Caenorhabditis elegans: one gene and its partners. The protein of the gene in region 1 purifies or fractionates together with the protein of each later gene. This does not show direct contact. Each region holds a gene or a part of one and is shown in the gene's direction. Other genes may lie near its edges.

Region 1 (5,075 bases):
AAGTTTTACTCAAGAGAATACATATAAATCGTGTTAATGTATCTCACAGTTTTACTGGTGACAAAGTAGAATTGGTCCCAAACAAGCTCGAACTCCACTGGTGAAAAAAGTAGTGGAGATGCAGACGCAACTGAAAATACAACCATTATCTGCAGGATTCGGTAGTCGGAAACTACCTGTAATTGGTTAAAATATGGTGTTTTTTTTTGATGACACGTCAATCAAGTTTTGACCAACAGCACTACTCACAGGAACACGATCGTATTTAGCTTTCAATCGCATGAAGATCATGAACGATATGACGATGATTTGAAGAGTTGAAATCGCATGGAAAAGGAAGTTGGAGACGCGGAGGAGAATGTTAAGAGCTGATGAGTGGAAGTTTGGAGCAAACACAACTTCCTCAAACCATTCAAAATTGCCACAGATGATACCAAATTTTGAAAGAACTACCGAATTGATTGTGATGATCAGGGTCTAAACTATGTTTATTACTGTTTGAGGAATCAGACGAAATTGACTTACATTGATGAGAAAAAAGTATCTCACGAGATGTGGAACATAGAAGATTCCGTTACACTTGATTGCAACCATAAGGTACAATAAGGTAGCGATGAACCCAAAAGTATCCATGAATGAGATTAATATACCGAAGCATATAGCCAACATCATTTTGGGCAATGGAATGAGGAAATCAGCGCTACCATAGATGTGAAGCTCGGCAGTGCCCCGCTTTTTTCAGTTCCCTTGGGATAGTATGAGTTGCTAGGAGCAACTGAAAAATGAAGCACGGGTGATAATCACGGAGAGAAACAAATACTATGACAGGAGAATTCTGTCATTAAGAGTACATCAATTATTGTTGAGAAGAGTGCTGATGCTAGAAAAGTATAAACAAAATTAAATAAAAAAGAATCACATTTCTGAATAACTTTGAAAACTTGCAATTCATGATTTAGTAGCGAAAAATGATTGATCTTAGATATACATTTGAACAAAGCATAAATAAAATCATAAGAATTCATATACTCCCGAAATTTATGATTGGGATTTTTTTCAGAATCAAGACGACGTTCTAGGGATAATGTGTAGCTTGGTTACATTCAACCAATCTTCTGAAAAAGCCAGAAATTTTAATTTATGTACATGACTATTTTGAATACTGATACGTTTGCTTCATACCATCGATTTTGAAACAAATGTTTTTAAATATATTGTTACCAAACTCTGATCTTTTTTGTGTGATAAACGTGAATTTGTAGTGAAATAACTTTTAAAAAATTATGTGTTATATAAAAAGTTAAAGGCGGGTAGCTATAACGAACATGTATTGAAATTATAAAAACTTACAAAAATTATCAAAAATGAGGATTGTTTTTAGACTGCAGTGGCCCAACCAAATTTATTCGGCATTGATAAGTTTTCTGACTTTTAGACAAAAATCATTAAAAGGTTTTTTTTTAGTTTTAATCAAAATATAAAAATAATTGTTTGCTTTTTTATTCTTTATCTTTATCAGTCTTTCGTGCAAAGGTGCTTCCCGATTTATCTATTAATTTACGAGAATGGACAAAAATTTTTATAGTACTTTTTTTCTCATTTATTGTCCAAATTCAAAGTTTTATTTGCGTATTTCTAGCGTGATTCTTAAAGAGCAAAATAGTAGATCCACACAAAATTTGTTTTGACCTACACCTGCCCGCTCTTTTTTGTATTGTTTTGTCTGCGCGCCGCCACGTTTCGTCATGCTGCGCGTCTCTTCCCTCTCTTCTCTCATTTCATATCATTTCATTCAGTCTTCGTACCATTACTGGTGGACAGTGGTCCGCTCTCTTTTTCATCTGCAGTTATTGCGAAATCTTTTATTTTCTGTTGAATTTTTTTTTTGTTTTTAGCCAAATTCTTGTAATTTTTCCACAATAATTCCATTTTTAGAGATTGATTTCTTGAGCGGCGATGGATAATCGTGGTCATTTTTCTTCAAATGGGAATTTCCCACCGCAAGGATATCACCGACGTGAGCAGTCCCAAGAAGGAATGAGAATCGGGAATCATCACGGACCGTTTTCTTCGGGCAACATGCGTAGTATTGGAGGTAAAAAAAAATTAAAATTCAATAGATTTATTAAACTGGTTTTTTTTCAGGCTCAGCTCAAAACCAGCAGCAACGTCATTGGACAAACATGCTCAATGGCTCAAATAATGTTGAGAATTCTTGGGTGTGCTTCTCTGGAAACACGTCTCTTGCCGATGATCCAAATGTTCTCTCCAATTTCTCTGCGTTGGCACAACAAAGAGTTAACCATTTTGATACAATTGTGCAGGAAAGGGACAATAGGAATGCGAGTTTCCTGAATGGTTCAGCAGTTGGAAATAACCTGAACACTTCGTTTAGCGTTTTTGGCAACTTGCGAGGAGGAGACCAAGATCATCGAGTTCTTTCCGATCACACTGGAATTTACACTGGTTTGGGATCCACTGGACAAAACGCTGTTGGAACCGGGATAAGACTGGCCGCTGATGTCGCGAACGGCAATTTCTTGGAGCAGAGAGCACCTACTGCCATGGGACACAACCAAAGCTATTCTGCACTGAACCAGTCATTAGCACCAACACTCCTTGACCAATACAATCAGGCACTCCTCGACCAATACAATCAGTCTTCACAAATGGCTCAAGGACGAGGATATCCGGCTCCAAATATAGCTTACGGTCTTCAAAATGCCGGTTTTCCAGCTCCACAAATAGCTCATCGGCCGAATACTCAAAATGCAGATCCTCAAGCGATGAATATGAATAACCGTTTAAGAGATCATACCTTCCAGATGCCACATACAAACGCTCAAGTTCCAATGAGTTCTCTGCCAGGTCTATTTAATTTATCCATGAATCACGGCTCCGGGAATCAACAGTTCCAAATGAATCAAAGCTCATCAGGCCCTGCACCTCAGTTGCCTAATCTGTCGGAAAGCTTCCAGATGGCGCAAGGGAGCTCTCAAGTTACAATGAGTTCCAGACCAGCTCACTCCAACACTTCTATGAATCACAGCTCGAGGAACCAATACAACCACGTGGATCAACGCCCATCACGCCCTGCACCCCATTTGCCAACTCTGACAAAGGAAGAGGAAGCTTTCTTGGAGACTCCAGATTTTGAACAATTTGGAAGACAATTGTACAACTACTTGCTTCCGGGAATCCTTCCAAATGGTGCTGCAGACACTTTCAGTAAGTGGAATTTGTGTGTTTATGTGATTTAAAATCATTTTAGGTGACGCTCCCAAGCATCAGTTGCTGAAGCTGGCAAAAACACTGAAGCCGATGCTCTACGACTACTGGCGGAAGACGATGCAAATGCAGAATCGTGGAGCCAACATCAACATTATTCAGTGGATTATTGATTTCAACGCCAAGTTTGCTGCTCTCAACAGTTCAGTTGCCAAAGCCTCAAACTCATCGGATGTTCTCAATCAAACTCTTCCAACTGCGGCTGAGGTTTCGGATGTTGCCAGGTGCATACTCTGCCTGTTGTTTGTTTTCTATCCTACTTTTTTCAGAGAGGATGCTTCGACTTCACAGCCATCCAAAAGCCGATCCATGTACATTCGTCCCGCTGCCAGTCTTGATAATACCTTGGAGACACTTGATGAGAATTTGGATTCTTCACAAAGTCATGCCGGGCCAGTTCCAGCAGCTTCAACTAAGCCCAAAACACCATCCTTTGAGAAGATGATTAGATACAGTGGCATCAAAAAGCGAAGCACAATGGACATGGATAATTTTGTTCGTATGCTTGATGAAAAGATCAACTTTTCGCCTGAGCCAAGCACTTCAAGGTATGTTAACCATAATAAACGAATTCCGATGTACTATTATTTCTTTTCAGTGATATTGCCAGCTCTGTGAAAGGCTACATGTCTCAATCCTTCCTCCACCAACAAGATGACGAAGCTCCTGATTGCACCAAGAATGTTCATTCTGAAAGTGATTTGAAACAAGCTGAGCCACAAGAATCGGACAAGCAAAGGTGAGACTTGTGAACTTATATAAATAACAAGCAATTTTTTTTTCAGTGACAAGGAATTGCCAAGCAATGAATGAGACGTTGGACAATTGGTTCGCCTACAAGAACACACTTACTGTGCTGCCATTTTGTACCATAACAATTCTATTTTTACCATACTAACCAATTTCACAATTACAAATTATATTTTCCTGTGATTTTCATCAACCATCAACCCATCTTGTGCTGTATTTGTATCTCATAGTAGAAACCTCCCAGCAACTAATTTTGACTTTTGGCTCGCCTGCCAACATCAATCTTATTACCCAATTTTGTACCATAACACTCTCTATTTCTACCACACTAACCAATTTCACGATTAGAAATTCTTTTTCCTGTGATTTTCTTCAACCATCTTGTATTGTACTTGTATCTCATAGTGCTCAGTTTCAGTCTTACCGGTTTTCCAGTCACTGTCCAGTACAATTTCACCGACTATTGTTGTTTATTTCGATAAAAATATTTTGTTCTAAATGTTTGAAATTTGTTGTAAAAACTGGAAATTACTAATCCAAACATATATCTTTCAAAAACAAATACCCATTGAATTATTTTGGTTTATTTTAAAAGTCATACCGTTTTTCACATGATGAAGATATTGAGAAAACGAGTTCAGGTTTAATGGTAGGACAAACTTGTAAAGTTCAATTATGATGTGGCTTGATTCGGTGCATTTTTATATTTTTCAAGTGATCAACCTAAGACCTCATTTGATCAACGAATGCTCGTATTTAACTAGGTTAAGTAGATAAAAACGTGTGGATCACTTTTTTAGTTAAAAGTTTCTTGCTGAAACGTATAGCTTTTGGAGCATACTTATTGGAAAAGTCTAAATAGTCGCCGAAAAATTGAAAGCGAGTATTGGCCAGCACTGTTTTAAATAGTTCAACAGCAGAAAATTGCACACCAATAAGACTTCAGAGAATTTTATTTTGAGAAACTCTGAACTATGCAATTTTTTCTTGAAATCCCTACAACTCTAATTTCTGCATACTTTAAACTCTCAAACGCC
Region 2 (5,795 bases), on another chromosome or scaffold:
TCTGTAGCCGGGTCATCATGGAAATATTCCAATAGACTATTGAAGACGGATGAGCATTATTTCCGCACGTAAGGGACTTTGGGATTTTACGCTGGTTCAATGCCATGCATATACTCACAATAGCCAATTCCTTTGTGCTCTTTGATTTTCAAAACAGAAATATGATGCCAATACTGGCGCCCAGACCCCGGGACAAGATTTCATTTCTTCAACTAGTTTCACCCTCCGTCATCACGTGTCAGTTTTTAACGATTTCTAACAAAAATGTATGTTTTTGTGTCTAGGAACGGCAATGTTGAATATTTTGTTTTTCTAGAGTCTTACTTGTTTCAGCTTCGATGAAACCCGTTTTTTTAAATATAATTGAAAAGTGGATAAAAATTGGTTCATTATAATTAGAGATAGTTTAAAACAATACCCTAAAAATCCCAACAGTTAGAAGGGACTTATTCATTAATTAGTTGCTGGCTAAGTTTTCTATTTATATAATTACTCTCGAAATTTATCAATCGATTCTTGGACTTTTTTGTTCCGCAGACGCCGGCGGAGTTTACAAGCGTACGATGTGGTTCAACTTTTAAAGCTTTATAAATGGGGCATGTATGAATATTTCGAATTCTAAATCTATAATATTAAAACACAAACGCATCTAAATTATTGGTGTCGATAAGTATTTTTCAAGCGGTGAATCATCTGTGTTCACACAAATAACCAGATAAAAATGAATAAAAACATTTTAAGCTTGTTTAGAAAATTAATTAGTTTAAAACTTGATTCAAGACGGCACGATGCTTCTGACCGTTTTTATCCTTTCTAATTTATTTTTTTTATCGTATTACTTGCAATGGCATCACTTGATCACTGAACCTTCAAGGAAAAATAGAATGTTAAATTCAGAAAAAGTCTTAAATCTAGAAAAAAAAAACTCGGTGCACAAAAGTACATCAATTTTTTGTCTGTGATCAGCTACAATTCATTGCATATTCGTATAGAATATATTAAAAAAAGTTCCTAGATTTATTACTCGTTTTTTCACCAGTTATTTCTGCTTTCTTACGAAAACGCCTTTTCTCATTTTGCTTGTCAAAAAACACGCGATATGTGAGCCACAACAGAATTCTAATTGCTTGTTTCTATGTTGGGGGCACCACACAATTTCACCTGTTTTTCAGCAATCCAGCACGACCGCTATTTTCTTTGCTTCATGGGTTCACTTTTGGCAAACCCATAAAATATTTCGTATACTTATATGTCAAGTATTTGTATCTTACGAGTAAGACTGCCAAATTCTTCCTGCTCTCTTTTTTTCATCAGAATCTGATCCTTGACATCGTCTACTCTTTTACTCTCAAAAGAGCAGCAGTAATTGGAAATTGAAGAGGATGAAGCTCGATCTTTAAGGAAAAAACGAGAGAAAAGAAGTGGGCTGGTTAATCGAAAATTGCGCTGAAAAAGCAGAAGACGAGCTGTAGGAAAAAACGACAAAGCGTGGGAAGAGGGACGGCGCCGTTTGCTCCGCGCTTTTTATTTTTCGTCTTCCGATTTCCGAAGTGACGATGGTTTTTAAGTAAAGACAGATGATTTTTCTCATTCATGTAGTGATGTCATTTTTTGTTAGTTAGAGCCACATGGAATTCCATGGTTTTGCATTCCATTAATTCCTCTCCTACAGTTAATCATACTGCTTGAGATTGCATTTATTACATAGGTTACTGTAGTTTTCTAAAAAACAGATTTGGGTGCATATGTGCATGTTATCATGTGTGTTCTCAGTTTTTCCCCGTTGCTTTGAAAACATAATATCTCTTGTCAACAACGTTTTTCCACTTTTGAAACAATGAAAAATGGTCACTTGCTCAGTTTGTTGTCCCTTGTATTCTCTTTTTAATTTTTTAAAGGTCTCTTCATACTTTTATTGAATTTTTCATGTTGTTAATTTCAGGCGGTCGGCTCCGCATCCGCAATGTTGAGATCAAAGAAGAAGGACAAGGAAAATGGGAAATCAGAGAAAAAGGACAAAGAGAAGGATAAGAAATCAATGAAAGATGACGGTGCTGGAAGCAGTAAGGCATCTACAATTCCTACGATCCGAACAGAAGATGTTGGAGGTAAATTAATGTTTTGATTATTCGGGAAAGATGATAACACAAAATTTTAAAAAAGTCAATTTCAATAAAATCTCACGTGAATCTATATTCTTCCACGGTTCTCCGAGAGCATAATTTTTCATCATTTCTTTCTAACCATCGAGTAATTTCAACCATCAACCAAAGATAGCAATGAATAAAATGCCACAGAGATCAAAGAAAAGACGACAGAAAACGAGTAAGTAGTCTAAATTATTTGAGAACATTTAGGAGTAAGAGTGGTTCCTATCGTAGAGTTTTGAGAATTCTTCGAAACGAGCGGAGATCGTTGTGAGACCCTGTGAAGACAATACAGCGAGCCTATAAAGTTTAGATTACGGCGTGTCGAATTTTATCATGAAAACATATACTATTCGGAAACAAAAACAACATGATTCGAGATTAAGGTTTTGATTAGAGTTTTCTTCAGTAAATAATTTTTGAAGCTGTCCTCCCTTTCAGCATCTTATAGTTCTCGAGGTAGGCAGGTTTTTGACCACTTGCATTTTTTTGAATAACTGAAATGGATGCAAAGTATAAATAAGTAGAAATGTATCGGATCTGAAATCAAATGCACTACATTTTATGAAGATATTGAGTGAAAATATTTATCAGTTAGATGGGGGAGGAACAAGCCATCCAACCAACAACAAGAAATCTGTGAGCCCTCAAGGCACACTATTGATGTCCAACTTTTCCACAAACTCCTTCAAACTCTTCTTCTTTTTGCCCCCCCCCCCCCATTTTCTTTATTTCTCACAGAAAAAACGACCTTCTTTCTTCTCTGCGCCTGTCTTGCTCCTTTAGATTTCTTTTCTATCATCAATTTACCCTACTCTTCTTCTATTTCTCGCGTTATTTTGTATCACGGAAGAAGGTATTAGAAATAATTCGAATAGGATAGTTGGAACGGATTAGGACTCCAGCTCAATTAGTTTGATTGTGTTTTTTTGGTTTGTTACGCCTTTCCTGTAGTCTTTTTGCAGCGCATACCAAAGAAAAAAACATTTTAGTGTTCTGGAGAAAATATTATTTTGTTCATAGTAGATATTTTCTTACAAACGCTTAGACATTTCGCTATTTCCCCAACTTCACGAAACAACTTTTGTAGTGTACATTTGAATTTGAATTTCCCGCGTAAATGCTCGACGAGGCCGCAGAAATCGAAAATGGGATAGTTAGTCCACCACTAGTGTACTCCTCTCGGATAAATTTTTTTTTGAATCACAATCATTGATTTTTCCATTTTCGGCCCTCATATTTATCATTTCTAGGAGATATGATTCCTGCAGATGCACCACCACCAACAAATATTGGCCGAACAAACACGTACGGAGGAGGTTAGTGTTTAAACGAAGACTAATTAACTATAGAGACAGATTTAATTTCAGGGCCAGTGATACCGCGAAGAGAGCGCCGCCAATCAAGTAGCATGTTCAACATTTCACAAAACAGAGAGCTGCAAAGACTTCCAGCTATCAAAGGTAATAATGTTTTTTTTAATTACCGTATTGATAAACTCGTTTTTAGATGCGGATCCGAGCGAGAGAGAAACACTGTTCATTCAAAAACTTCGACAATGCTGCGTTGTTTTTGACTTTGCCAATGATGCTCTCAGCGATTTAAAATTCAAAGAAGTCAAACGGGCAGCTCTAAATGAACTCGTCGACCACGTTTCCGGAGCTCCAAAAGGATCGCTATCTGATGCTGTCTATCCAGAAGCTATCGGCATGTTCTCCACTAATCTTTTCCGTCCTTTGAGCCCACCGACCAATCCAATTGGTGCTGAATTTGACCCCGATGAAGACGAACCAACATTAGAAGCTGCCTGGCCACATCTGCAGGTAATATTTATTTTCTGCTCTTATTTAAAGTAAATATTTTCAGCTCGTCTACGAGTTTTTCCTGAGATTCCTGGAGTGCCCCGATTTTCAATCTCAAGTTGCAAAACGTTACATTGATCAAAATTTCATTCTTCGTCTTCTCATGATTATGGACAGTGAAGATCCACGTGAACGTGACTTTCTGAAGACAACTTTACATCGAATTTATGGAAAGTTCCTCGGACATCGTGCTTACATTCGGAAGCAAATCAACAACATTTTCTACTCGTTCATCTACGAAACTGAGAGGCACAACGGGATTGCTGAATTACTCGAGATTCTAGGTAGCATTATCAATGGATTCGCTCTTCCCTTGAAAGAGGAACACAAAACTTTCTTGCTCCGAGTTCTTCTTCCGCTACACAAGGTCAAATCATTATCTGTATATCATCCTCAACTCGCGTACTGTGTCGTACAGTTCATTGAAAAAGACTCATCACTGACAGAGCCTGTAATCAGTGGGATGCTACGCTTCTGGCCAAAACAACATAGTCCCAAGGAAGTGATGTTCCTGAATGAATTGGAAGAAGTCCTCGATGTGATAGAGCCGAATGAGTTCCAAAAAATCATGACTCCATTGTTCTCACAAATTGCTCGCTGTGTCAGCAGTCCACACTTCCAAGTTGCCGAACGAGCTCTCTACTATTGGAATAATGAATATGTGATGTCATTAGTAGCGGACAATGCTCGTGTGATAATTCCAATAATGTTCCCTGTTCTTTTCAAAAACAGCAAGTCACATTGGAATAAAACGATTCATGGACTTATCTACAACGCCCTCAAGATGTTCATGGAAATGAATCAAAAACTGTTTGACGAGTGTTCCCAAGCTTATCAGAAAGATCGAGTTCAAGAAAAGACATTGAATGAAGAAAAAGAACGCATCTGGAACAATATTGAGAAACAGGCAATGGGAAACCCGCAATATGTTGAAGTTAAAGCACTATTTGCTCGATTTAATCCAGATGAAATCATCAGCTCGCGTCAGCAGAATGGAGTTGACGAGAATATGAAGACTTCAACTGTGCTTAGCAAGGATGAAATTCTGAAAAATGCTGTAGGAGTGGTAAGTTACAAAAACCTAGAAATATTTTTTTTTTGTACAATAACGAATCATTACAGAGCTCGATGAAAAACGATATGGATTTCGGACCCAACCACAAACAATCCGATTTCCCTCCAGATGAGCAAACGACGAGAGCTTTAGGCGAGTACAAGCGTCACGATCCATTTTTGAAGAAAGTGACTAGCACCGACGAACAGTGATGCAGAAGACTTCAACGGGTGCCAATTTCTCCATGTTGTGCCGGGTTTATTATACGATGATTCGACTTCCTTACCCAGTTTCCGTTCCTTTCTTAAAATATTGACCATTCCATGACCCTTATCACCGTTTTATTGCTCTCCAAAATTGCCCTTAATCACATCTATGTTTGCGTACCTGTAAATATTTCGAAACTTATTTCAGTTTTATCAATATGCACCATAAATTCCATCTCTCCTCACCATCATCGCAAATCCAAATGCGACTTTTCATTGTGTAATAATTTCCCCCATTTTGGTAGTGATTTGGATTTAGATGTTATAAATGAATCGAGAAGCCATGTGAAATACATTAAAATCTGCATAGGAATAATCATGGGAATATATATTAGGCAGAAGGTTTACGAGGGGTTTGGCTCATTTCATCCAAATCCTTCTTTATATGTTCTTTTTCGAATGCTAACCCCACTCTTTGCACATCAATATGCACTTATGTATGAAATACACGAAATGAGACGAAGGA
Region 3 (4,780 bases), on another chromosome or scaffold:
GTAATGTAAAACTTATTTCAAATGAATATTCACTTCTCATTTGTCCGAATTCCAACACTGCTTCAATGAAATAAATTTATCTGAACTGGATTTGAATGTTTGGTCCATTTCAAAATAATTTATTACGCTACTTTTTTCTAAATCTACGAAACACCAGACTTACAGTGAAAGAAAAATAACTCAATCAAACAGATGAAACTATACGTGAAGAAGATAGATTGATATCACACAAGAGAAGACAAAAGCACGACAATCAATGAAATTATAAAAACAATGGCTAAAAATATAAAACAAGAGAAACATTGCACATGAGTGAAAACTTTTCGACTAGTCCTTATTCTTCTTCGTAATGCCCTGACTGAGACCGTAAGGGGAATCTCTGGAAATTCGTCCCTTCCTTTTCGATTGGTTTGCCATGATTGACATATTTGGATTGAGTGTGGTCGTTTTATCCAGATCGAAGTCTTGCTTCAAGTATTGTGAAGCAGCAAGCATTTGAATTTTGTGATGACCGCCACACACGATTCCAATAGATGCTTTCCTAATATCCTGATTCAGCGTATAGAACATAGGACTCAGCAGATAGCCTTCGGGTGTATAGTCTTTTGGAGCTTCTTAAAATAACAGTTAGAAATAGACTAAAGCTGTGAATGTAACCTACTTTCAGTGTACGAAACACGGAAACTCGCGTCGGACCCTTGAGGAAGCGGCTCCATTTTCTTGATACACCGGTGAAGTTTCTTGATTGTGCTTGCAAACATTTGTTTCGTGTTGTCGGTATCAACGAATTTCGCCTGTAACAGTTCTTGACTGCTTTCGTTCGTGTCGATTCCGCTGAAAACAATTGAAAACGAATAATTGAATAAGACCAGCAGCTTACTTATTTAGAGATACGAAAATCTCTCCTTCATCTCCATAAGCAAACCTGAACGCAAACACTTCATTAATGTCTTCCTCGTTTGGCTTCTTGTAGAACACGATTGCGAACTCTCGCAAATAGCCTTGTTGAATCGCATCTCTCAATCCGTCGAATGTTGAAGACACACGCTTTGCGGCAGGAACACTGCTCTGGAATGCGGTGACCAACAGTTTATCTGTATAAAAATATTTGTGATACATTGTAAAATAAGCCATACCTATTGTTCGAGTTTTGAAGCATTTTTCGTCCAAAATGCCACGGCGATCGAGAATGAAGGCCGAAGCACATTTTATGTAGCGAAGCGCAAACATTTCAGAATTTTTTTCAATCTCTAGATCAACGGGAAACGTGGCCTTCCACTGGCTGGCTATAGGAATTTCAGACTCGCGGTGCTCAACAATCTGCTCTTTCGTCGCCATCGCAAACCTACAATTACTGAAATATCATCGTGAAACAAATTAAAATGTTTAAAAAATAATATCTATAAAATCTATAACAAGTTAAACATATTATTTAATTATAAAACCCCGCATTGATTAAACATATTTTGATTTGAAAAAAAAAACTAGAAAATAGGTAAAATAAATCTGGAAATAGTTCAGAAACTTAGAAATTATTAAAGGCGCATGGAAGTTTCAGATCTACGGGTCTCGAAACGAACAACTCGACGCGAACGCGGAAGTTGCAATTTCGATCTCGTCCCAATTTTCTTTTCCGTTTTCTTACTTTTTTGGGTAAATTTTGCGTTTTTTTGAATTCTAATCTCGAAAAATTTTTTAAAAATTTAAATATTTATTTCAGTTTCATCCATTTCACATGGAGGCTAACAAGCGAGAAATTGTGGATTTCGGTGGGCTGAGATCCTACTTTTTCCCAAATTTGGCCCACTACATCACGAAGAATGACGAAGAACTGTTCAACAATACATCTCAGGTTGGACTATAATATTTAAAGACCGATTTTCTATTATTCAATTTCAGGCCAATAAGTTGGCTGCTTTCGTGTTGGGAGCTTCCAAAGACGCTCCTGGAGACGAAGACATTTTGGAGATGATCTTGCCGAACGACGCTAACGCTGCCGTTATTGCTGCTGGCATGGACGTTTGTCTTCTTCTCGGAGATAAATTTGTAAGTGTGAATTAAACTTATTGTAATCAATTATAACGTTTTAGCGTCCGAAATTTGATGCTGCTGCTGAGAAATTGTCAGGATTGGGACATGCTCATGATCTGGTTTCTGTCATCGATGACGACAAGAAGCTCGGAATGCTCGCCCGTAAGGCCAAGCTGAAGAAGACTGAAGACGCTAAGATTCTTCAAGCTCTTCTCAAAGTAATCGCAATCGATGATGCCGCCGAAAAGTTTGTTGAGCTCACGGAACTTGTCAGCCAACTGGATCTGGACTTTGATGTTTATGTCCTAACTAAAATCCTCGGACTTATCTCTGAGGAGACTAGCGACGAGGTCGACATTATCCGTGATAACGTCGTCAACGCATTTGATAGCTGCAAGCCGTTGTTGAAACAGTTGATGTAATTGTTGTCCTTTTCAAAATAATTCGATTTTTTTTTTCAATTTAGGTTGGATGGTCCGAAATCTGAACCTGCCGATCCATTCATTAGTCTCCTCATGGATCCACTCGAAGAGTCTGTTGGGAAAGTTGTGAACCATATCGCTCAACTTTTCGAGGAAGCGAGTAAAAATGAAGGAGACGAGTCACTTGTCTTGAGATCTCAACTCGGATATCAGCTCTTTTTCCTTATCGTTCGTTCACTTGCAGATGGAAAGCGCGAGGTTTCCAAGAAAATCCTCTCTGGGATTCCTACGAGTGTCAGAGCGGAAGTCTTTCCAGGATTGCAAAGAAGTGTCTACAAGAGTGCGGTGTTCCTCGGCAATCACATCATCCAAGTTCTTTTAGGATGTTAGTATTTTCGTCTTTGTTTACTTTTAAAATCTAAATATTTCAGCTAAGAAGTCTTTTGAGGATTGGGATGTTGTTGGAGTCGCGAAAGACTTGGAGAGCGCCTGGAAAAGACGAGCCATTGCGGAACTTATCAAGAAGTTCCAAGTCTCAATTCTAGAGCAATGCTTCGATAAGCCCGTTCCACTGGTGAGTTAATGATTCTATAAACATTACTTACATGACCGTTTTTCAGATTCCTCAGAGTCCACTAAACAATGATGCGGTGATCGATAATGTGAATAAAGCTCTACAGTTTGCACTGTGGCTTACAGAGTTTTACGGATCCGAGAATGAGACTGAAGCGCTGGGCGAGCTTCGTTTCTTGGATTCCACTTCAAAAAATCTTCTCGTCGATAGCTTCAAGAGTGAATATTCCTTTTTTTATCTCCTGTTAACTTTTTAATTTCAGAATTTGTTCAAGGAATCAACTCGAAGACTCATGTCACTCGAATTGTTGAATCACTGGAGAAGTGTTGTTTGTCCGATACACCAAGTGGCAGAAAGAGCAATGTGCAACCATCCACTTCCCAACAGCAGGATTCCGCCTACACGAAAGAGGAAATGACGACGGTTCACAACACATACAGCGTAAATACTAAAGCTCAAGTTCTCAACGGTCTCAGTGATACCAATTCTTCCGGGTTACTTGTCGATTCAAAGGATTCACTCAGTCTTCAGGAGATTTCTTGTGACGAAGTGGATTCTTCGACTTTGCTAAGCTCATCAAGAAACATTGGAGAAGGTGTTACTGTAAAAGCGGTCGATCCTGTCCCAGAAAAGGTTAACGATGCACAACAACAGCAAACAGTTAACGAGATCGAGATGGCTTCGGATGCCAATCAAGATACTTCTTCAAGTGCTTCGCCAGAAGTAGCGCCAAGTTTTTCCACCGATGGCTGGGATTCTCCAACGAAATCAGTAGCTCTGCCACCGGTATCGCGTTCATCGTTTCAGAATTATAAAAATATTTCTTTCAGGGCATGCAGCAGATAGATGAAGAGGAAACCACAGTTGCTGACAAAGATTCTACACCACAACCACAAGCTCGTGCTGAAACTGCATGGGGGTCAGGCGACGCTACTCCAATGCCTCTTCCTGCCCCGACTAATCAATACAAAGTCAGTGGATTTGGGGAAGCCAAAGTTGCAAAAGGATTCGGTCAATTTGCTCCCACCAGTTCAGCTTATGGAGGAGGAGGTGGTCGCGGAGGATATGGCGGTGGAGACCGTGGAGGCAGAGGTGGATACGGCGGAGATCGTGGAGGTAGAGGTGGATACGGCGGGGGAGACCGCGGAGGACGAGGTGGATACGGCGGAGATCGTGGACGTGGTGGTTACGGGGGTCGTGGTGGACGCGGAGGTTTCTAAACTCCAACTATTGAATGTTTAATTTGTTTTTTAAGTATACACTTCTTGTATACTTACACGTTTTACGCACATTATTTATTCTAACAATCTTGTTGTAAAATCCCTAAAACCTTGACTGTCATTTATTATTTATTCAACCTGTTTTTCCTTGTTCCCGGTAAATGTTTGAACTAGATTGTTGCAAGAAATTAACTCAATTAATTACACGTATATCTCTTTCTGCGGCTTGATGAGAAAAGTGATGTCTGAATCGACGGTGCCGAATGATTGGTGGATCATAAAATTAACAGGTGGCACTGCATGCATTCTTATACAATTTCAACTGATCTTATCATACATTTACGCATATTAGAGTTGTAAATCGTTATGAGACATCTGCATTCGAACATAACAAATACCGTATTTCTTCTATTAATATGGCTGCAATACTATTTTTCGATGGTCTTCCCGCTTGCAATACTAATAGGGAATGCAAGACTATTAGGGAGTGCAATACTAATTTTCAGAGCATTTTCTGACTTTGAGCTTACTAG
Region 4 (4,895 bases), on another chromosome or scaffold:
GACTTTTGTTCCGTATAAAAAGCCTTTTTAAAAATAATTTTAAGTCATTTCTCTAATTTTCAATCAATTATTTCTCGGCTAATTTTTTGTGTAATTTCTTCCATTTTTTAGATATCAGTGCTACTATAAACTTTGCTTTCGCGGCGAGACCCATCCCACTAAGCCTCTGCGCCTTTAGGTAAAAGTTTCAGAAGTTTGCGTTTTAATTAAGCTTTTTCTATTCATCTGAAAGTTGTGCAAATTCTCACTTTTTCTCCCCGTATTTACTTCCACCCCCATAAACTGCCCCTCCTCTTCATTTTCTTCACGTCTCCGTCGTCTCCAGTGGCCTGTGATGGCCTGTGTGCGTATATTATTCCTTTACTTCTCTCTCTCTCTCTCTCGGTCTCCCACACTCTCCGGCCTTTCCGTGTGCAAATGCGTGCGCGAGTGCGCACGACGTGTCTGCGTCTCTCGACGTCTTCTCAGTGTCTGCATCACTGTGCACTCCGGAATGCACACGAACTCTGCTCGCGCCGCTCACAAACGGCGCTCATCGGGTGAGAGATTGTCTTTTTTCTCTCGATCAACTAACTCTCTCTGTGGCTGGGCAGAGTGAGAGAAGACAACAAAACGTTGACGTTTATACCTCGTGTGAGAGCGAGAGTTTTTTGTCTCTTTTTTTCAACTTTTTCACTGAATTTATTAAGCGATTTGGAACATTGTTCGTGTTTTTTGTAGGGAATAAAATATAATTTATGCGCGAACTGCGTAGGTCATGCGCATGAAAAATTAAAGGATTTTGCTTTTTTAGACTCAAAATGCGCTCAAATAAACGAATTTTGTAATGAGACTACTCTTAAATTTCCCGAAATTTTTTATGGAGGCTTCTTTTTTTTAATTCAGACCTCGAAGTTCAAAATTTCGAAAAAACTTGATAATTTTTAAAAATTAGACAAAATTTTCGATTTTTCCAAAAATTTATATGTCGTAGCGGTAGGAAATTAAAATTTTTTCCGACACGAAAAATTGGCAAAGCTAGTTTTCCAGCTGGATTTTAGATAAAAATGCCCAGTTTTATCGATATTTTCAACCGCCATAGGTAAAATTAAACGAAATTCGTTTATTTTGGCACATTTTTACACCAGCAAAAACTGTCACTCCTCTCTCAAAATTTATCAATTTTCCCCGCGGTTATCGCTAAAAGTGAGCAAACCAGCAAGAAATACAGAATTTTCGGTTGTTTTATTTTTTTTTAATTTTTAAAGCAGTTTTTACGCTGAAAACTCTGAAACTTCAACTAAATTTCGACGAAATTCAGTTTTTCCATCTAAAAAAACAAATAAAAAACAAATTCGCAAGCGTGCTCCATTGATAAATTTGCGGAGCGGGAATTTGAATCTAGTTTTTCTTGTTAAATGGTTTTTTTAATCAATTTTGTGATAGTTCTCAAAATTTCACTTTTTCTGTGTATTGGCCCCATTGCCCATTGCTTTGTTCATTTAATGAAGGCATTTTTGCAAATTTTTACCACAAGGAAGCTTTAAAAACTAGAAAAAACGCGGCAAACCACCGATCAGTAAGTGCGCTCCAATGTAAATCGGAGATTTTCTCGTTTTTTAATTTGTTTTTTACGTTAAATCGATGTTTTGTCTACAATTTGAGCGTTTTTCCTGCGTTTTTTTCGGTTAAAAATTGAATAAAATTAAATAAAACCCATTTCAATACATTTTATTCCCGAATCTGATCACTTGTCGACCTACATTGCCATTTACTTTCACTCTCTTCTTATCATAATTTCGATAACCACTGCCTATCTCTTTTACACCATTCCGCGTTAATAAAAACCCTCTCTCTCTCACTCTCTCGCAATAAAAAATCAATATATATATATATACATTTTGCAGAAGCGCCCAGAAATCTCTCTCTCGCCGTCTGCTTCTCTGCTCCCTCCTACACGAAGTTTCAACACTTCGCTCGAACACAACCAGGGCGAGAAGACGTTGAAGAAGATAAATTCTTTTAATCAAAAAAAAAAATGCACGGAAGCGGGCACAGTCTAACGGGCGCTCCGCATCAAATTCCGCCGCCACGGACACAGGGAGCCGCCACCGGTGGCCAACAACTCTCGGCGACAGCTAATCAATTTGTTGATAAAATCGATCCGTTCCATAATAAAAGAGGAACTTCTAGACGATTGTGAGTGGCTGGTTTAATTTATTTTTATCGATTTTTCCCGATATTTTCAGGCGCATCAACAACAGCAGCCGATATAATGTTGATTCGGCTCAAGAACTCGTACAATTGGCGCTCATCAAAGGTGATTTTTTTGGATTTTCTAGATGAAAAACCGAAAAAATTTCGAAGAATTGAGTAAAAAATAGCGAAAAACTCGCATTTTGCCACCCTGCCGCAGATTTTGGCAGTTTTCAGTCGATTCCAGGCAAATATTCAGGGAAAATGTCCAAAAATGCTAATTTTAGTGAAAAAATGTTGAAAAATGCTCGATTGGCCTGAAAATTAGGATAATTTTCGTTGAAAAGTTGGAAAATAGCCTACAATTGTCGGAAATTGTCCCAAAAGTGTGAATTTCGACTTTTATACAAAATTTGTGATTCTTTTTAAAGTTTTTAACGAAAACTTACACTATTTTCAAGTAAATCAACTTTTTTATGTTGTATTTTTACATTATTTCGTGAAAATTTACCTACATCGACGGGAAAACGCGTTAGAAATCGCGAAAATCTTCAAAATAAAGGAATATTTCGATGAAAATCGATTTTCGGTCGCTGCAAATTCGTAAAAATGGAGTTTTTAGTCTTTTTTTTAAAAGATTTTTTGACAAATCGGATAATTTTGAACCCAAAACTAAGAAAATTTGGTCTTTTTGAGCCAAATTTTGAACTAAAATTCTGAAAAACGCCGTCTGAAATCTCTAAAATCTGCAAAAATTGCCGATTTCAAATTTAGCCTTTTTTCAGAATATTTGAGCCGAAATTGTCGGTTTTTTTTTGAGCCGAAATTGTCGGGTTTTTCAGTGAAAATTTGCCGAAAATCCCTGCTAAAACCCCGAAAAAAGGCCTAAATCATCAATTTTTTAAAAGAAATTCAATTGCTGCTGCAAAATTTGAGATTTTCGCCATTTTTATCGAAATTTGAATTTATTTTGAGCCTTTTAAATCAATTTTACCGCTAAAAATCTTTAAAAACTTCAATTTTTCCAGATACTGCTGCAAATGAGCAACCGGCTCTCGTTATCGAAAAGCTCGTCCAATGTCAGCACGTATTCGATTTCTATGATCCAGTAGCTCAACTGAAATGCAAAGAAATCAAAAGAGCAGCTCTAAATGAGCTCATCGATCACATTACATCGACAAAAGGAGCAATTGTTGAGACAATTTATCCGGCTGTCATTAAAATGGTTGCCAAGAATATATTCCGTGTACTTCCACCATCAGAAAATTGTGAATTTGATCCAGAAGAGGATGAACCGACTTTAGAAGTCTCGTGGCCACATTTACAGGTTGGAAATGCAAGAAAAACCCGAAAATGGCTCCAGGAAGCCGAAAAATGACAAAAAAAAATCGAAAAAAAAATGCAATTTTCAGAAAAATAGAGCAAAAAGTGCATTTTTCACTAATTTTTGGTCCAAAAAATTGACTTTTTCGACTGGAAAATTATTAGTTTTCCTTTTGGCAAAAAAAAACCCCGATACATCCTGAAAACATCGAAAATCTGAAAATTATAGCAGAAAACCGCGTTTTTTTGCTCCAATATACCAAAAATAGCCCCAGTGCATCAAAAAATATTGACAAAATGACCTAAAAACTCTGATTTTCTCAACTTTTCCGTGTTACAGATGGCATTTGGCCACTTTTTGGACCGAGAAAGGCATCGAAAGACGGAATTTTATAACAAAATTCATTAAAAATCGCTCAACAGCTCATAAAATGACATTTTCAGCTGAAATCTCAAATTTTGCCAACTTTCCCGGTGTCACAACGGTCGGAAATTAAAAAATTGGCGATTTAGGCTGAAATTCGACCATTTTTCGGAATTTTCAGCAATTTTTGATTATTTTTATTACAAAAGACCCCTATTTAAAAAAATCAATTTTTGCTCTATTATACCCAAAATGGCTCCGGGCCATCAAAAAATGCTGAAAATTCGTCGAATGTCAGCCTAAATCGCCAATTTCTCAATTTCCGACCGCTGTGAAACCTGGAAAGTTGGCAAAATTTGAAATTTCAGCTGAAAATATGTAATTTTTCGAGATTTTGAGCGGTTTTTAATGAATTTTGTTATGAAATTCCGTCTTCTATGGCCAAATTTCACCTGAAACTCAGAAAAGTCGACAAAATTTGAGTTTTTAGGCCATTTTCTGGCCAAATTGGGAGCTAAAAGATGCTTAAAATCATCAGAAATCTGCAAAAATTCACTGAAAATTGGAAAAACTGCCCTAAAATCAAAAAAAAAAAAACGAATTTTGCAGCTTGTCTACGAGCTCTTCCTGAGATTCCTTGAGTCGCCAGATTTCCAAGCTTCAATCGGTAAAAAGTATATTGATCAGAGATTTGTGCTCAAGCTGCTCGATTTATTCGATTCGGAGGATCCACGTGAACGAGACTTTTTGAAGACGGTTCTTCATCGTATTTACGGAAAATTTTTGGGCCTTCGGGCTTTTATTCGCAAACATATCAATAATATGTTTTTGAGGTGAATACTGGATTTTTTTTTTCGCTGAAAAATCGCTAAAAAATGGCTTAAAAATGAGAAAATTGCAACGAAAAGCTCAATTTTCGGCAAAAATTCATGGATTTGGACCATTTTTGCAATTTTTGATATTAAAATTGTCATATTTGTGGTGTTTTGGGTGAAAATTTGTGATTTTTCTTTGAAAAATACCGAAAACTTGT

What was found.
Region 2: the proteins of meg-1 (region 1) and pptr-2 purify together in Caenorhabditis elegans (affinity purification with western blotting, with the first as the bait; one study listed by BioGRID). This does not show direct contact.
Region 3: the proteins of meg-1 (region 1) and pgl-1 purify together in Caenorhabditis elegans (affinity purification with western blotting, with the first as the bait; one study listed by BioGRID). This does not show direct contact.
Region 4: the proteins of meg-1 (region 1) and pptr-1 purify together in Caenorhabditis elegans (affinity purification with western blotting, with the first as the bait; one study listed by BioGRID). This does not show direct contact.

Annotation. Positions count from the first base shown.
Region 1 is NC_003284.9:13,926,495-13,931,569, reverse strand, and holds meg-1 (Protein meg-1), read left to right. Parts: upstream 1-1,935; 5' UTR 1,936-1,956; coding exon 1,957-2,095; intron 2,096-2,145; coding exon 2,146-3,228; intron 3,229-3,271; coding exon 3,272-3,512; intron 3,513-3,557; coding exon 3,558-3,836; intron 3,837-3,886; coding exon 3,887-4,027; intron 4,028-4,073; coding exon 4,074-4,101; 3' UTR 4,102-4,534; downstream 4,535-5,075. UniProt on the Caenorhabditis elegans protein: P granule component, which acts redundantly with P granule component meg-2 to promote P granule segregation during embryogenesis, and germ cell proliferation and differentiation in larval stages.
Region 2 is NC_003283.11:11,026,993-11,032,787, reverse strand, and holds pptr-2 (Serine/threonine protein phosphatase 2A regulatory subunit), read left to right. Parts: upstream 1-1,963; coding exon 1,964-2,108; intron 2,109-2,279; coding exon of another isoform or gene 2,280-2,325; intron 2,326-2,867; exon of another isoform or gene 2,868-2,983; intron 2,984-3,003; exon of another isoform or gene 3,004-3,144; intron 3,145-3,400; coding exon 3,401-3,466; intron 3,467-3,505; coding exon of another isoform or gene 3,506-3,517; coding exon 3,518-3,610; intron 3,611-3,656; coding exon 3,657-3,970; intron 3,971-4,013; coding exon 4,014-5,075; intron 5,076-5,131; coding exon 5,132-5,275; downstream 5,276-5,795.
Region 3 is NC_003282.8:6,974,084-6,978,863, reverse strand, and holds pgl-1 (Guanyl-specific ribonuclease pgl-1), read left to right. Parts: upstream 1-1,545; coding exon 1,546-1,653; intron 1,654-1,720; coding exon 1,721-1,852; intron 1,853-1,899; coding exon 1,900-2,046; intron 2,047-2,090; coding exon 2,091-2,449; intron 2,450-2,497; coding exon 2,498-2,838; intron 2,839-2,884; coding exon 2,885-3,027; intron 3,028-3,073; coding exon 3,074-3,245; intron 3,246-3,289; coding exon 3,290-3,813; intron 3,814-3,857; coding exon 3,858-4,247; downstream 4,248-4,780. Other genes in the region: him-3 (HORMA domain-containing protein), read right to left, coding at 328-614, 662-834, 881-1,094, 1,137-1,338. UniProt on the Caenorhabditis elegans protein: Guanyl-specific endoribonuclease which cleaves the phosphodiester bond in single-stranded RNA between the 3'-guanylic residue and the 5'-OH residue of adjacent nucleotide, resulting in the formation of a corresponding 2',3'-cyclic phosphate intermediate.
Region 4 is NC_003283.11:16,355,635-16,360,529, forward strand, and holds the start of pptr-1 (Serine/threonine-protein phosphatase 2A regulatory subunit pptr-1), read left to right. Parts: upstream 1-1,886; 5' UTR 1,887-2,017; coding exon 2,018-2,178; intron 2,179-2,228; coding exon 2,229-2,299; intron 2,300-3,203; coding exon 3,204-3,502; intron 3,503-4,471; coding exon 4,472-4,695; intron 4,696-4,895. UniProt on the Caenorhabditis elegans protein: Probable regulatory subunit of serine/threonine-protein phosphatase let-92 which negatively regulates the insulin receptor signaling cascade composed of daf-2, age-1, akt-1, akt-2 and sgk-1 by promoting the dephosphorylation of akt-1 on 'Thr-350'.